3 linked regions of the Drosophila melanogaster genome follow. The protein of the gene in region 2 interacts with the protein of the main gene of each other region in a pairwise test. Each region holds a gene or a part of one and is shown on either strand. Other genes may lie near its edges.

Region 1 (5,439 bases), on a different chromosome or scaffold from region 2:
TCTTCTCCCAGGAACCGAGCGAACAACTGTTCAATGGTGAATCCCAGGCGTTGGAACTCCTCTGGCGGGTAGATGATCACCATGCACAACAGAATATAAAACAGATTGAATAGCAGCTCCGACTCGTCCATGTTGCGAATAATTTCGGATTTTGTTTGGCTCAGTGGTTTCGTCGAACACTAGAGGTGTCCAACAAATTCCCGATTATTGTTCTTAAGATATCGATATTATGAATGGTACGCGATAGCACGGGACCAATATCGTACCGCGCCCGCCATAGCAAATGAGAATTTAAATAAAAACAAGGTGCGAGACATTTTTAATTGTCAGCAGTTTGAAGATCGACTATTCTGCGTGCCACGGGCACGGGGCATTAGAGCAAATGTGGAGTAATACTGTTTGCTGTTTCGAACAACAAAAATAAAACAATTAAAATCAAAAATTTGCAGTTATACGGAAAAGGCAATGGACATGTCATCCGAGGAGAAAGGTAAGTGTACATTTTGGAACGGACAACAGTGTATTAATTTAGTAACTAAACGAAACTAACCTGTGCACATAAATAAAATAGTACAAAAATTACATACAAAATGCATTCGTTCATTTGAAAAACCTAAAGTTTTTTCACCGAGAAAAAACAGTCGCCTTAAACTCTTGAACTTACAGCCCTGAAAAAGGCTTTGACTTAAGCGGTCATGTGGTATATTATCAGTATGAACGTCGAGAAAAACAGACAATGTTTTCAAAAATATTTTATTTGTATTTAGCCATTATATCGTACTTGTGAAATATTTTAGGCAACAATCAATTAATAACGAAAAATGTCATAAGATCGCAGTTTGTCCCAAGACAAAACTGTCACAGAAACCCATTATGCGTTTAAGGAAATTTATACTAGAAAATGAAGGAGTATTTCGTAAGTATACAAAATTTGTTAAATTTTGGTATTGGGTTATGGCTTTCTTGAAACGGAAATATTTGATATTGCCGTACTTGTCATGTACTGTCACGATTACAGACGTGATATGAACAAATCGTGCACTGAATCTTAGATTCTAGTTGGACCTCATGCATAACATAAGAAGGTCCACACCCAGCTGCCAAATGAATACATCTGGGTTGCATAAGTTATCGAACGGAATGTCATCTCCGCCGATGGTCGGTGCTTTTATCTATTGCTGCAGCTCACTCAAGTCTGGAATGTTGCAAGCGTAATCGTCGTTTGAGGTGGAGCTGGAGTCGTTGGTTAGCTCAAAGCTGTTATCACCACTGGTGCCAGTAACCGTTGTCAGGCTGGAGTCATTGTTTGAGCTCTGCTGCTCTGAGTTACTCAGATTTGGCAAGAAGGCATCTGGGTACTCTTCCTCTCCATCCTCCTCACCATCGTTATCATCGTCATCATCTTTGCTCAAGCTGCTGGAGCTGCTTCTGCTCTCAGGACGCAAGGTCTCCCTGCTGCCTTTACTTATATTCAAGGCGCTTATCATTGGCAAGTTGTTTGAGCTCGCCGTTGATGTGGTAGCCGTTGAAGCTTTCGCTGGAGCGTGATTTGGTCGAGAGTTTACATCTCCAGAATTATCAATTAAAAGAGTGATTCGCGGAATGTTAGGCGGATCCGTTGAGCTAGTTCTGTTGCTTGGGTTGTCCGACACAGTTGCCCGCAAATCACCAGAGTTCGAAATGAGTATAGACAGATCGGGGATGTTCATCGGTCGTGGCTGCAGCACTGGCTCCTGAATTTGTTCGCTGGGATTGAGAATTGTCAGATTGGGCACATTCGGGATGGTCGTCGACGTAGTTCCGGTGCCTGTCAATGTTGCAAAGTTGGAGTTAGTAGTACTCCTTTGCTGTCGTCGAGGTGGCGCTATGGGAGGGGTGTTTCCTGACGGCTGGGGCACACTCTTGTCCCGCCTCACAATGTCTTTTTCAAAGTTGTCCAGGTTCAGGCCAACGCTACCTTGAGCGTCTGCCCCAAGAGTGGCAGTGCTTGACTGGTATTTGAGGCTCAGCCCCTCGTTGTCCACTTCCATTTCCTCTTCCAGCAGCTCAAGGCTTATGAGCGCACCGGGACCGTCAACAGGCCGGGCAGGGGTGGACTCTAGAGAAGTCAGTGGATACACTTTTTTTAGTTTTGTCAGTTTAAGGCAAACATAGTCATACTTGCCATTTAGGAAGTCTAGTGCCACAAAGTCTGCCGCACTGAAGAGCTCTGCCTGCACCAGAAGTTGGAGCAATACCCCAACCGTGGGCCGCTCGTTGAGCTTGCCAGAGGTCTTCCACTCGTCGATCATCATCTGCGACTTGCTTTGGTCCGGCGGTAGTCGGTTTGCAGCCTCGTCAATCTGGAACACGTCCTGCGCAGTGTACTTAAATCCCTTTTTGATTTCCGCCGGAAAATTCAAGCATCCGGCTCCGCTGCAGGCCTGCACATCCATGCCCTTGGGTATGATCGACATCAATTTGCGCCAGCATGAGTTCTCATCTAGTATTTTGGCAAGCCGGTAAATGTCATTGTCCTCAACGCGTCGCAGCTCCGTGTTGCGAGAATACTTCGAGGATAAACCTATGGCGCCGTTGCTTCCGTTCACCTGCACGCCCATTCCGCATCCGTTCCAGCCATACGCCATGGTGTTCCCTTAGCTACCCAGGATAACCTTACGGGAAAGCCTTTGCCTGTGGCAGGTCGATGGTTCAAGTTCCCAGATGTCCAGTGCGATTGTATGAGATTTCCGCTATAAAACCATGTTTGCATCTATCTTCTCTCTCTATGTTTTTGCCAATGCCCACAGCTACTGCTCGCTGCTCGCAGTATTTCAGTGTGACCGAGGAGGACCGCAGCACCATATTAGATTCGTCATGTAATATTAGGGGGATTCCCGAAGCCGATTGGTATTGTGTGGTATTTCCGTATGCGGAAAATAGCTAGCCATTTGCAATACTGCACTAATTTTTAACGCAAAGTAAGAAAAAACCAAACTTTTTTTTTCATTAATGACATATTCCGGCGTTGTGAGCAATAAATGTAACCCCACCGATAGATGGCTTTCGTTTGTAATTGTAGAAGAATACCGGGTACCTGGTAGAAAGGAAATTCGAATAGACATTTACGTATACATATATATAAGTATTAAATATTCTTAATCAGTAAAAACAGACAAGTCGATATAGCCATGTCCGCCCGTTTTACGCGGGCGATGAAATAGCAGCAAAATAAATAATCGAAAAACCAAAAATAAACACTTAGTTCTTAGTTCTTTTTGATATTTTTGGACAATAATTAATTTTGATTTGTGATAGTTTCTGAGATCTCGACGTCCATAGGGACGGACATGGCCAGATCGATCCTGATCAAGACCTCTTCTACCTGCTACATATTTTTTAACTAGTCTGGTATACCCTTTTACTTCACGAGTATCGGGTATAAAATGCAGGAGTAGTATTACCAGGTGAACAAAAAGGGACATAAATATGGCCAACCGGGGCACACGTTCATAATTAATTCATAATTCATTATTCCAAGTAAAAAAATAGGGATATTGTTATTTTTAGTTCAGCAACATACTGGACCATATAATGGTATTCATATTTATTTTGTTGATAAAATTTTAGAAATTATTTTTTGATAAAAGTCTATAAAATGGACGGAATTGCATTTGTATCAATTAAGGGGCTTGCAAGAGAGCACGGATGGAATGTAGTTCTTTTTATAACTTCACTTACTCAAATATAAGGTCACTTCTTAGTATATGTATGTTCTTACTGCCTAAAGTTATGGATCTTAATTTGTGCTGCATTCATTGGCTTGTGTAAAGAAAGGTGCTAATGAGTAGCAATGTGCTTAAGATAAGAGCCGTATTGATATTGTGGCCATGTCGGGTATTTGCGCCGTTGCGCGTGGTCTTGCCCATCTGGAAGTGTAAAGTTGGACTGGACATGCGACCGTCTCCTCCATTGCTGTATGCGAGGACTCGCATGTTGTAACTCTTCCCTGGCGTCAGATTGTTGATGTACGACTCCAGTTTCTGTCCGATTGGCACTATGGTATTGTTGGCCGTAATCATGTTCTGGTCCGATTCCCAAATGCGAACCTAGAAAGTTTCAAACTGTAATCGATTTTCTTGGTCACGGTGCCGGGAGTTGTACCTTATAACCCTCTACTGGTTCCTCGTCTTGCGAAGGTGAAACATATCTCCAAACAACCCGCACGGTAGACGGGTTTATTCCATACACGTGAACCGAAGATGGCGGCTTTTGCGGGGCCTTTCTATATGTTCGTTCTAAAAAGCATGGTGTTTAAGCATTTTCTTTAAATGGTTTTTTAAACTGTTCGTTACACACCTTCAAAGCGTTCGCTTTCAGGTCCTTCACCTGCAGCATTGTAAGCCATGACTTTAACAAAGTAGTAAGTATCTGGTTGTAGACCTACGATAAGCGCCCAATTCCTTGTAGTACGTGACAGGTAGTATACCGAGTCTTCTTCCTGGTGCGTCGTTTTCCAATACTTCAACTGGTGAAAGATAAGGGTTTTTGACAATGCAATGGAATTAAGTGCAGTAACCATACCCTGTGGCCAATGAGTTTGCCACGAATGTTTTCACGGGACATGTCTATAGGTTGCCAAGTGACATTAAAGCATGTGGAGTTGTAGGCGAGCGCAATGGGCTTTTGAGGAGCCACCTGTGGCATGTCCTCAGCGGAGTGTATGACAGCTATTTCACTCTCCGGTCCCTTGCCAACACTGTTAATGGCTTGGACTTTGACTTCGTACTCCGTATAGTAGTTATTAAGAGGAATATTAACCACAGCCACGCCCATGTGATCCTGTTTTTTTATTTCGTCAGATGCCCATTCAATGGCTCCCTTGAGCTTCCAAAACACTTTATAGTGTATGCCGTGGCTATGCTGCTCTTGCGGTAGAAGCGGATCCCAGGTGATAGTTAGGTCGCCAATCTTTCCACCTCCACCACCCACGTTCCTCGGGGCTATGTATGGTTTGTCCTCATAGGTGCTGTAAATTGGCGAGGGGGCCGAGGGCGTTCCGATTCCCAGATCGTTTACAGCAGTAACACTAAATTCGTAAGCCGACCACGGCGTCAGATTGACAACCTCGGCTTGCTGGCGAGAGGTGTATCGATCTACTTCTCGCGCCTGCACATGGGTCGACACATTAACCCAGGTGCGATTCCAGTTTGTACGGCCTAGGATGTTGTAGTAGCGGATCGCACGACCGTTGTGCGATCCGTCCACCCACTCAATGATGGCCTTCGTTTTACTTATCTGTATGACTTGAACACCACCAGGAGCGCCAGGAGCTCCCTCAATAGAAACACTGGTCTTGCTGCTAATTTCGTTTACCGCCGACTTGACAACGCATTCGTAGTCCCCGGCATCGCGCATGCTCGTGTTATGCACTGTCAATCTGTTCCAATCTACAATCTG
Region 2 (6,791 bases):
TGAAGGCCATGTACCAGACCATTGAGGTGACCGTGGCGATTCTCGTGCTGGGCGTCATCTTCTACCTCGTGTACAAGAAATACCGCAAGATGTCCGATATCGGTCTAGTGCTGCCGCAGGGAATCATGGAGACCATGAAGAAGCCCATAGACATGGGTGGCCTGGGATTGGGCCTGGGTCCAGACTCGTCCGTCAGCGGAGGCATCGTGTGCACACGGGTGGACGACTCGCCGCCATACACGCCGCAGGATCTGCCGCACGACTTCAGTAGCTGCGGCAGTGAGAGCTCGAAACTGCTGCTGCGCACAGCGTCCTCCTCTGGTGGCGGCGGCTGCGTGGATCGCGATGGATACGATGACAATCACGAGACAGGGCCAATTAGCGCAGTTGGTCCGCCCACCAGCTACCTGGCCATGCGGCATGGCCTTCTCGTCCAGAACGACAGGGAGCGCGAGAGGGAGAGGGATCGTGAGCAGGAGAGGGAGCGGGAGCAGCAGCAACAGCAGCGCGAGAGCGAAATGGATCGGGAGCAGAGTTGCACCAATGGTTACATCAAGCCCACACAGATGAAGAGCTGGGGCGGCAACGGTCCCTCGGATAATGATCACACGTTCTCAGTTCCTTCGACTGCAATGACCGCTCCGATGTCCCAGCCGCTGTCCCAGATTCCGCTCAGCGGCTACGTGCCCGTTCCCATTCCACAATCTCGGTTCAATCCGGCTCCAGTTCAACCGTTTGGGTCGCCAGCAGTACCTTCCGCCGCCACCGCAGCCGCTGCGTCGACCTTTTTCCCACCGGCCCACTTGCTCAACATGGACAACTACGTGCAGGCCTCGGATCTGCACAAGCTGAAGCCGCTCGTCGCAGCTCCGTTGTCGCAAACCGGAGGACCAGCCTTTGCGGGATCTTCGCCAGCAACTTCGCCACCGCTACAGCTACCGCCGGTTCACGCCGCAAGTCCAGCTGCCGCCACGCCCAAAATGGCTGACATCGGCTATACCACCATGGAGCAGTTGCAGCTCACTGGGCTGATAAAGCCACCTCTGGCCGCCACCGTGGGATCGCCGACGCACGCCGCTGGTGGGGCGCCGGGAGGCGGCAACCAGCACTCTCGCCTCCAGCCGCAAATCAATGGCTACGTAACGCCGCAGGATCTGAACGCCATGGCCCACAATCGGCACGTCCTCTAAGATACCGGAGCGCTCATCATTTATGCACGGGTGTGCATCATTTTATCGTTTCCTCGCGTTCGCATCGATAATTCATCAACTCATCTTCAGCCGCATATCCTTCCAACGCCATGATCTGGTCACCGGATCGCCCCAGCAACCAAAATCCAGGACGAGGAACCCAGAACCCAGAACCTGTAAACTAGAATCTGGAATCTGGAAACTAGAAACCACTGTCGGGCAGCTGTTTATAGTAATTAGTGAAAACTCCTCGGACGAATGTAGTTTTACGTTTGTAATTTATTTTGTATTCTTTGCGATGCGTGTGAGGCAGAAAGTATTTGTAACGCAATAGTATTTTTTTATATATATTCGTACTGTACACTTACTTACCCACTTAACCATCCACGCGTCGAGCGGATCGAGCTTATACTATTAATACCCTATTTACACAATACGCACATCGCTGTATTTCAATATAAAGCTAATTTTAAATAAGATTTCAAATTGGCTTTTTGATTCTCTCGCGAGCTTTGGCGATAAGTTAGCTATACATACATACATACATATACTTGTTCATATATACATATATGGACGTATATGCGCGCCTGGCTGTCCCTATCGATATGCTCCATCCAAGCTGGCGTTTGGGTCTCGCGATTGAGCTCAGTCGCACAGATCGCTCTCGAGCAGTCGGATCCCACGAGCTGGAGGTACGCTTGCCTCCACACTGGACACCACCACGGATTCAAGATCGTAAAGTCTTGCGGTCTTATCAGCATGCCCATGCATTTTGCACTCAACTCATTTGCTTTCTCCTCGTCGAGTGGATGTTTGAAATATGTACATACATAGTTCCGTAATCGGGCTGTATCCAATTTCTAATTCCAGCGCCTAGCTTTAGAAGCATCGGAAGTTGCGATTAGGAGTCACTGCGGAGAAAGGAGCACCCATGGGCTGGAGGACGCGTATAAGCCGCCTGCTTTCGCTGACATTGCTGGCGACGCTCATGGCCCGTGCGCTGGCGGAGAATGCGTTGCATATGCCGCAGGCGAACTGCGAGATGCAGTCCCTCGGCGGACCTAGCTGGCGTTCCGGCACCATCGGCAAGGTGTCCTGCAAATGTGACGGTGGTGAGGGTAGGAAGATGTCTGTGCGAAGGCAGGGCACAATAGAATCAACGGACTCGTACAACGGCACCGTGGTGCACGTGGATGCAAATCCAGCCAACGAGTGGGAACGAAGGTATGAGTGCCTTCTGGATGGCGTCATCCAGAGTCATGTGTGCGTCCGAGTCTATGCCCTGCTGAATTTGAAGGATTTCGTATGCCGCGACGTGGTCTATTACTTGAGGTGCACCTTCAGCCGCATGGAGAACGGCAATTTCGAGAACAAAACCCACTACCAGCTGGCCATGGGCAGGGCCAAGCCAATCGACTGCAGGAAGTCGGAGGACGAACGCAGCAGGGGCAAAGTGGAGTGCTCCGTGCCCATTGATCCGAACAGCCGTGCACCGGAATGGAGGGATTTCAGGCTGATCATGAGCGACGACTTGGGCAACCAGAGCAAGGTGCTGAGGCTAACGCAAGCCGAAATGGAGGTGCTGGAATGGCCACGCGGCAAGCACAACATGATACAAACGCCCAACCAGACTTGTCTGGAGTGGAACGGACCCTTCATTTACCCGAATCGAACGTTTGAACTGAACGTGCAGTTCCGCCACTCCAAGCTGCCCAACTTGTCGAGGAATCTCACCGTTTCGCAGATGCGAGCTGTCAGTGTTTTCGACCAGGTCTGCTTTGGAAATCCACCGGAGGGCAATCAGTTGTTCTATGTTAGCCTAAGCCGTCGTCTCCATGGATCCCCCTGGTCGGAAAGGTACCCCGAGTTCGAACTCACCACGAATGCATCCTTGCCCGCCCGTCCGCCACGGTTCCTGGCCAATGGCTTCTCCCACGACCGTGCTAAAAGGGAGCTCAAAGTCTACTGGTTGCCGCTGGACGAGCTGGAGTTCAATGGAGCCGAGCAGACATACGTGGCGAGCACTAGGTACGGGTAAGCACTACATGCACTAGATTACCATGAGATTACCATCGAGACCTAAAAAGAGTTTTTCAAAAACATATTGAGCTTTAAAAACCGAAAGCCTAGTAAATCATTTTAGAATCTTTGGCACATTAAGCGCCCTATTTACATACAACAAGAGATCTCCGCGAATTCGACTATCAGATACCCATTACCTTACATACGGCAAGTCGTGCGTTACGTTTGCAAAAAGGCTCGCTCATAACTTTTTAATGCATGTATCCGATTTGAAGAACTTTCGGCACTTTATAGCATTTTATAGTATTGATGGGCAAAACAAGGACTTATTTCACAACTTATTTAGGTCACCTGACAGATTTGAACCTCCCAAAAGTGGAACTATGTATTTTTTTGCCATTAGCATATGCCGAAATATGTTTAGAATGCTCGATATATACCTCGTTTTATACCCGTTACTGGTAGAGCAAAAAGGGTATTCTAGATTCGTTGAATACGTATGTAAAAAGCAGAAGGAAGCGTTTCCAACCACATAAAGTATATATATTCTTGTTCAGGATCAATAACCGAGTCGATCTGGCAATCTCCAACTCAGGAACTATAAAAGCTAGAAGTTAAAGCTAGAAGATTAAGCATACAGATTCTAGTGAAATAGATAGCAGCGCATGTTTGCCCACAAATCGTTCAGAACTGCCACTCCCACACTTTTCAAAAATGTGTTGATATTTTTTCAAAATTTTTTTAGTCTTGTAAATTTCTATCGTATTGTAAATTTCTATTTGCCACAAACTTCTTGCCACGCCCACTCTAAAGTAGTAGTTTCGTAGTTGTGTTCTTGGTAAATAAAGCAGTTTCTAGTGATCTTCAACTTAAATTGGGTTAAAATAATAATCGAAATAATCCTAAAGGATTAAATTAGTTCATTTTGCTCCAGTATTGAAAGTTATATGTTCATCCCAGTTATTTCTAGGCGGGTTTCGTCACTACCGATAATATTATTTACAATAAACTAGCCAGCAGGAAAGACTAAATGCTTTTCATTTCAGAACCAAAGTGGCCACCACCCAGGGCAGCATGCTCGCGATCTTCACCGACTGGGATGACACGCAACCGGCCACAGTGTCTGTGTGGAGCAGCAATGTCGTCGGTCGATCGCTGGAGAGCAGCCAGCTGGAGGTGCCCAGACTGAGCGACATCCGGGATCGACGGATTTACCTGGAGAGCTACAATAAGACGAGCTCCAGACTCAGCTGGCAAGGGCCGGAGGAGCTGGGAAACTTCACTGGCTACATAGTCTATTGGTGCAAGCTATCCAGCAAAGTGCACGATGCCTGCGACGATAGTTCCTCCATCGAGACGACCTACGCCCGCGAGACGGCGTACAATTTCTCCGGAATCCAGGGCGTGATCCGGATGGCTGTGGCGGCCAACTACAGCGACGGCCTGACCACCGGGATGCGCTGGTGGTCCGGTGACAGCGAGGTGCCCGAGAAGCCAAAGATCTTGCGGTACGTGGAGGGCACCATCGCTCTGCTGGTGCTTGGGTCGCTCGTCTTGGCCATTCAGAAGCTGCGCCAAATGGCGGACATCCGGGTTGAACTGCCAGTGATGAGCGAAGAGCCCACAGCAAATCCACTTGGCGATGTACGCCTGTTCTATCCCGCCAATGTTCCGCCGGAGAAGTTCTACGGCACAGTGCGCAAAACCGTGACATTTGCGGAAGAGGAGCCCACGAGGTGGCCGGAGATAGAGCTGCAGGAGGTGCCCAGACCACAGCCCGTGCCCCAGGCCGATGCGTACGTAACCAATCAGTATGTGTCCATGAGCGCAATAGGCGCGCCCTGCGGCGATGGGTACATCAAGCCGCCACCCGTGCGCTGAAATCTCTCGGGAAGATTGCTGCCCGCTCTTGTTGTAGTTCGCCTGTAAATCTATATTCGAGAGGAGCCGCTAGTAACTAGCCCGGCTCAGCACCGAAGCCCACTGACCAGAAGCATACTCATTATTTAGTTAGTATTACAACCGTAGGGTTACGTTTGCCACCCATCTGCCATCCTATGAAGGATCTATTTATGTACATCGACACGCATGCGATCGGCATCACCACATACACATCGAACTAGCCGGGATTATGAGTTAGAAGATCGTTCTGCTCCAGCTAAACACTATTTTGTATATTTAATAAAAAAAAATCTTGTACAGACCGAATTACAAATAACCAAAGAATGCATATATGTATATATACATATATATGTATGTATGTACATGTACGTGCGGACAGAGAGGAGTATCCTGCGAACCCAGCCCGGGGATTGGTGTGCTCCAAACGCTCAGTGATTGGACGTGGCCGCCTTGCCGCCGTGCCACTTGTAGGAGCCGGAGTACTTGAAATTGTTCTCCTCGCACTTGCGGTCCGCCTCCTTGGGACCGCGCGATCCGTACTGGTAGGTGATTGGCCGAATGTGCTCCTTCTCGATCTGGTGCAGAATGGGCGTAAATATGCGCCACGCCTCGCGCAGCTCGTCCGAGCGGACGAAGTGCATCTGGGAGCCGCAGAAGACGTCGAGGATGAGACGCTCGTACGCGTCCGGCAGGTAGGAGTCCTTGTAGCGGTGCTCGTAGGTGAGGTCCAGCTCCGTCTCCTCGATGTCGAACGTGATGCCGGGGCTCTTGGTCATCATCTTAAAGTACAGGGCCTCGCCCGGCTGGACGCGGATGACCAGCTCGTTGCGCTTCGTATTGCCCTCGAAGATGTCGCCGGGCACGTCCTGGTACTGGATACGCACCTCCGCCTTGCGCTCGTTCAGCGCCTTGCCGCAGCGCAGGATGAAGGGCACTCCCTGCCAGCGCTCGTTGTTGATCTTGAGCACGCCGAGGGCGTAGGTGGGCGTGTTCGAATCGTTGCTAACGGTGGGGTCCTCCACGTAGCCCGTGCGCGCATCATCGTTTGTACCCTGCGGATTGCCCAGGTACTGGCCCAGCACCATGTCATCCAGCGTCAGGGCCTCGATGCTCTTCAGCACCTTGACCTTCTCGTCACGAATGTCGTCCGGGTGGCAGCTCACCGGCTTCTCCATGGCCACCAGCGAGAGGATCTGCAGCAGATGGTTCTGCATCACGTCGCGTATGATGCCGAACTCGTCGAAGTAGCCGCCACGACCCTGCGTGCCGAAGGGCTCCTTGAACGTGATCAGCACGGAGGCGATGTTCTCGCGGTTCCACGTCGAGCTGAGGATCTTGTTGCCGAAGCGTATGGTCATCAGGTTCTGCACCATCTCCTTGCCCAGGTAGTGATCGATGCGGTACAGCTGATCCTCCTGGAACAGACCGGCCAGATGGTCGCTCAGCGCCTGCGAGGAGGCGTCATCCCGGCCGAAAGGCTTCTCGATAATCACGCGGTTCCAACCGCTGCAAGCGAACGGGTTATAGGTGTACATAAGTATCGGGTTTCAAATTAAATGCATCTGGATCTTGATCTTGATCTTATACTCACCAGACCGACATGCAGATCTGCTTGATGTTGACAGTCACCTCCTCGAAGACGCTGGGCGGCAGGGCCAGATAGAAGATGCGGTTGGC
Region 3 (5,212 bases), on a different chromosome or scaffold from region 2:
ATCTCAGCCAATTCCTCGCCTGGCCATTACAATCTCGAGTGATTCCCCTTGCTTGAGTGTGTTATGAGCCAAAGCTAAGTAGGCTCCATTTGAGATTACCAGCAGAGCTTTAGTTATCTGCTCAGGGATAACAGAGCTTTGAAAGGTTCTCACAAATCTTGGTGGAAGAAATTGGAAACTGGGTTTTCCTTCATTTCGAACGATGAGTCACTTACTAAAGTTATAGGTCGCGCCTTAAATTTTTGTTCCAAAGAAACCATAAAGGTGTGTACCATTTAGTGATACTGTGGGCATTGCCAATTTTTTTTATCACAAATCATATGGCGAGAAGTGCAATGACGAGATCGTTGTACGTAAGATAATATTTTTAGGTCTTCGCAAACGGCATCTTAAAAATGAACTGCAGAACTAAATGCTCTATAATTCAGTCTACTAGCGACGGTAACTAAGGGAATTTTAAACACAAGAATATGTCTATATTTTCGAGCAATCAAAACAATAATAGCTGACTAGCTCTTGAGACTGCGGACTTGTAATTAAAAATATTTAGTGATGTCGCCCTCAATGGCATTTTCAAAATATCAAGAATAACTCAATTTGAGTGTCAGTTATAGATAAAAGAATCGTTTGCTATCTCTCTACCAAGTTATGATTTTTAGACCACTAAAGTGAACAAATAAAAACCAAATGCTAAAATGTAAATTTGGTTATCCAGACTAGTCTAAAAAATAAATGCGTTAAATGGGTTAAGAATTAATGGCTTTTACTATTAATTTTCTCTTTGGAATTTTCGTTAATTGGAAAGGATAACGCCTGCATAGGTGGTCTATTGGCAAGTTCCGGGTTCTGTGTCTGCAGATAGTCCTCGGCATCCCAGGGCTGAGTTTCGGCCGTGCCAAACACCAAGTAAATGCAATTGCCCACAAAGAAGATTACGGAGGCAATGATGAACACGATCTGCCATTGGGAGCGATCAGACTGAAAGGAAAGGATACAATAAGCAATTAAAAATCTTTACTTCCTACCAACTTTTGCAAGCACTCACATTTTCCTTAACAATCCATCCAACAACTAAAGGAGTGACTATGGGCACGAAATTCGCCGCTGTATTCACAATTCCCATTAGAATGCTAGCGTGATTTTTCGATAGATCAATTGTGTTTAAAACACTGCCAATGGTTTGAGCACTATTCACGCCCACACTGATGGTCATCAGAGCAATCGCGAAGTTCTTTTGTTCCTTGTCCAAAAAGCCAATGCCCACCAAAGTGGCAGCAGGAATCCAGAAGGCAATGGAGTTGTAGGTCTTTCTCAAAATCGTCAAGGACACCGAGTTCTTGCCCAAGAGCACATCGGCTACGACTAGGTAAATATACGACATGCACCACATGGCCAAGAATGGGAGTGCCGAGAAGAACGCATTGCTCTTCATGTCCATGTCGAGGACTCCGTTCATATAGGATGGGATCTCGGCCTGCAGAGTGCTCAGTCCCCAGTTCTCAGCGCATCGTACTATGAGCAGGGCCAGGAATGGTGCCGACGTCCAAATTGCCTTCCAGGGAATGGGTATAATGGTAGCGTGGTATGACTCATTGTGCTTTAGAGACGACTCAATATAGATCAGTTCGTTCTCTCCTATGAAACGAGATTCCGTAGGATGGTTGGCAGCGAAGACGAACCATAATGTACACCAGAAGAAGGCCACTCCAGCCGAGACATATGAGATTCCGGGCCATCCCAGGGAGCTCTTGGCTATCATTCCGCTCAGGAACATGGCACTCACATTGCCGCACTCGATTCCAGTGTGACTCAGAGCTCCCAACCGATTTCTTTCCTCGGGCGGTGACCATTTAGCCAGGTGCTGATGAATGCAGGGGAATACCACTCCCTGGGCCAATCCCATTAGAACTCGAATTCCACAGTAGGCCTGCCATTCTCCAAATCCGATGAACAGCGGCGTCAAAGCACTGCAGACACCAGATCCGAAGACACCCCAAAACATTACACTCTTGACTCCAAAGCGCTTGCAGAGATAACCTCCAAGGAATTGCGTTAGGATGTAGCCCCAAAAGAAACTGGAGAGAATGTACGACTTCTCTGCCTCCGTCCAATCGTATTCCTAGTAGAGAATCTAGTAAGCTAAGTGGTATTTTCTTGATAGGATCCCTATTCTTACCGGAAAGTTCGGGTTCGTGGTTTCCGCATTGGTCATTGCCACCACAGACACGCCCACATTTAGGCGGCCTATGAATACGGTAGTTATATTGAGGAAGATCAGTAGCGCCTGGACATGCCTCATTCCCAGAACGGGTCCTGCAATAACAAAACGAACTGGTATTATCACTGTTACTTCCTGTCTACAAACAGTTGGGTAAATAAGTCTGAATTGCTCTTGAGACTCGGTTATCGCGCCATTATTGTAGTAATTTATGACCACTCAATGCGTGTGCGAAAAGCCCAGAAATCAGACGGAGTGCAAGGTCTGAGCCATGAAGGGGTTTTCCACTGTGTCAAGTTCGTTGGGTGTCAATTCATTCACAAACTCTTATCCGAACCGAAGGATTTCCTTTCACGCACCTTTGTTTGTCTCGGCCGTCATTTTTGATTTGGTCAACAAAACACCTCCTGACTTCTTTTAAACGACCGATCGGAATCACTGTGGGAAGTTAAGTGAGTGAGACCACGAACATAGAGTGGATTTAAATCCAAATTGAATTAGACGATAAGCCAAATGTTGCTTATCTGATACGACACGTCAGGTGATAAGGTCATACAGCGGGCGAATTTAACCATTGAATTAAAAAGCGTCATTAAAAAATTGTTGTACTTTACAAACTAGTTATTATGTCATTAGTCAGAATATTGTAAATCAATCAATAAATCATTATTTTCATCCATTTCTACAATTCTAGTAAGGATTCTGGCACGATTCGGTAAAAGATAGATGCCACATAAGCAACATGGCCTAAAATGTTAGCGCCAAAAAGAATGCATTGCTTTTTCATGGCCATATCGAGAACCCTTTTTCGAATAGGTGGGCATTTCGGCCTTCAGGTTACTTAGTCAAGAAAGAAGCCAAGGTTTTGCACCTTTAATAGTTAATTTTAGATATCTTGACGAAAATATCCTACCTGCAGTTCCTTTTCTACTGTTAAACGAGGTTGTTTAGAACAGCATTGCCTGGTCGTGTGGCGTTCCAAAATCAATTGGTAATATCAAGAGTAGTTACTGCCATACCATTATTGGATTGATTTATGGCCGCACCTTTGGTAAATTTGACGACTTTTGATAAGCAAATAACGCTCAAACATTTTAATTCAAACAAATCGTTTTACTTATACGTTTAATAAACAAATGAAATGTACTGATGTAGATCTTAAATCTTATTAAATTTAATAATAATACTCTAAATTATTTTGATTGCTTTGTTGTTTTAAATAGTTTCTATGTTAACTGAAGACTTAAGTGCTATCGATAGAACTTCAATTCAAGGACTTCGTGGAAGGTCATCAATACCTTTACCAGCTTCATGGATAGCTGGAACTTTAGCTAGCTCTGGCACCTTTACTGTGAGGTAGTCTTCAGCATCCCAGGGTTGTGAAACAGCCGTTCCAAAGTATAGGTACACCGAGTTTCCGACAAAAAAAAGTACTGCCGCAATTATGAACACTATCTGCCACTCAGCACGGTTATCCTGAAACAATCAACAGAAAGTCTTCTTATTTATACTTATTTATCACTGCCCTGTTTATAAACACTAACAGTGCAAACTTACGTCTTCATGAACAATAACTCCAACAATCAAAGGGGTTACTATAGGCACTACAGTAACAGCCGTATTCAAGATTCCCATTAGAATACTCGCATGATTCGGGGATAGATCTATGGTGTTCAAGGAGCTTCCGATTGTTGCTCCACTGTTGACACCGACACTGATGGTCATCAAAGCAATTGCCAGGTTCTTCTGCTCCTGATCCAGGAATCCGATTCCAATCAAAGTGGCACAAGGAATCCAGAAGGCCAACGAGTTGAAGGTCTTCCGGAGGGCCGTTAAACTCAGCCTGTTTCCGGCGAGCAGAACATCGGCGATTATCAGGTACACATACGACATAATCCACATGGCCAGAAATGGTAATGCCGAAAAGAATGCATTGCTTTTCATGTCCATATCCAGAACTCCGTTCATATAAGTTGGGATTTGGGCCTGGAGGGTGCTCAGACCCCAGGTCGCGCAACAACGCGTCAGCGTAAGAGCAAGAAATGGTGCCGAGGTCCAAATCGCCATCCATGGTACGGGAATTACGGTCTTGTGATAGTCCTCATTGTGCTTCAGAGACGATTCGATATAGTGGAGTTCTTCCTGGGTTATGTAACGAGATTCCACTGCATTGTCAGCGGCAAAAACGAACCAAATGGCACACCAGGCGAAGGCTAATCCTGCGGAGACATATGATATTCCTGGCCAACCAATGGCACTTTTGGCTATCATTCCGCTCAAGAACATGGCACTTACATTGCCGCACTCCATCCCAGTGTGACTAAGAGCTCCCAACCGATTTCGTTCCGCCGGAGGTGACCATTTGGCCAAATGGTGATGAATACAGGGAAAAACTAGTCCCTGTGCCAAGCCCATAACCACGCGAATTCCGCAGTAGGCCTGCCATCCGCCAAAACCGATGAAGAGCGGGGTCAATGCACTGCAGACACCAGATACAAAGACACCCCAAAACATTACACTCTTGACTCCAAAGCGCTTGCAGAGATAGCCACCTATAAATTGGGTCAAGATGTAGCCCCAAAAGAAACTGGAGAATATATACGACTTCTCTGCCTCCGTCCAATCGTATTCCTAGTAGAGAATCTAGTGAGCTAAGTAGTATTTTCTTTATAGGATCCCTATTCTTACCGGAAAGTTCGGGTTCGTGGTTTCCGCATTGGTCATTGCCACCACAGACACGCCCACATTTAGGCGGCCTATGAATACGGTAGTTATATTGAGGAAGATCAGTAGCGCCTGGACATGCCTCATTCCCAGAACGGGTCCTGCAATAACAAAACGAACTGGTATTAAAGCTGCTACTTTCTGCCTACATAGTACAGGTGGGAAAATAAATCTGAATTGCTCTTGAGACTCGGTTATCGCGCCATTATTGAAGTAATTTATGATGAGTTGAGTGCGCGTGCGGAAAGCCCGAAATTTTCAGATGGAGTG

What was found.
Region 1: the proteins of et (region 2) and tub interact in a two-hybrid assay, tested with the Drosophila melanogaster proteins (one large-scale study listed by BioGRID).
Region 3: the proteins of et (region 2) and CG9825 interact in a two-hybrid assay, tested with the Drosophila melanogaster proteins (one large-scale study listed by BioGRID).

The regions. Positions count from the first base shown.
Region 1 is NT_033777.3:4,385,118-4,390,556, reverse strand, and holds tub (tube), read right to left. Parts: upstream 2,816-5,439; 5' UTR 2,628-2,815; coding exon 2,165-2,627; intron 2,099-2,164; coding exon 1,173-2,098; 3' UTR 744-1,172; downstream 1-743. Other genes in the region: CG14646 (uncharacterized protein), read right to left, coding at 1-131; Cont (contactin), read right to left, coding at 3,795-4,088, 4,144-4,277, 4,339-4,507, 4,564-5,436. UniProt on the Drosophila melanogaster protein: Plays an essential role in the Tl receptor signaling pathway that establishes embryonic dorsoventral polarity; the signal directs import of dl into ventral and ventrolateral nuclei, thereby establishing dorsoventral polarity.
Region 2 is NC_004354.4:19,670,938-19,677,728, reverse strand, and holds et (eye transformer), read left to right. Parts: upstream 1-1,837; 5' UTR 1,838-1,882; exon of another isoform or gene 1,883-1,925; intron 1,926-2,060; 5' UTR 2,061-2,121; coding exon 2,122-3,224; intron 3,225-4,258; coding exon 4,259-5,093; 3' UTR 5,094-5,417; downstream 5,418-6,791. Other genes in the region: dome (domeless), read left to right, coding at 1-1,190; Zw (zwischenferment), read right to left, coding at 5,543-6,620, 6,706-6,791.
Region 3 is NT_033778.4:22,834,823-22,840,034, reverse strand, and holds CG9825 (uncharacterized protein), read right to left. Parts: upstream 2,675-5,212; 5' UTR 2,600-2,674; coding exon 2,578-2,599; intron 2,314-2,577; coding exon 2,177-2,313; intron 2,120-2,176; coding exon 1,046-2,119; intron 979-1,045; coding exon 754-978; 3' UTR 744-753; downstream 1-743. Other genes in the region: CG12490 (uncharacterized protein), read right to left, coding at 3,488-3,694, 3,776-4,849, 4,907-5,043.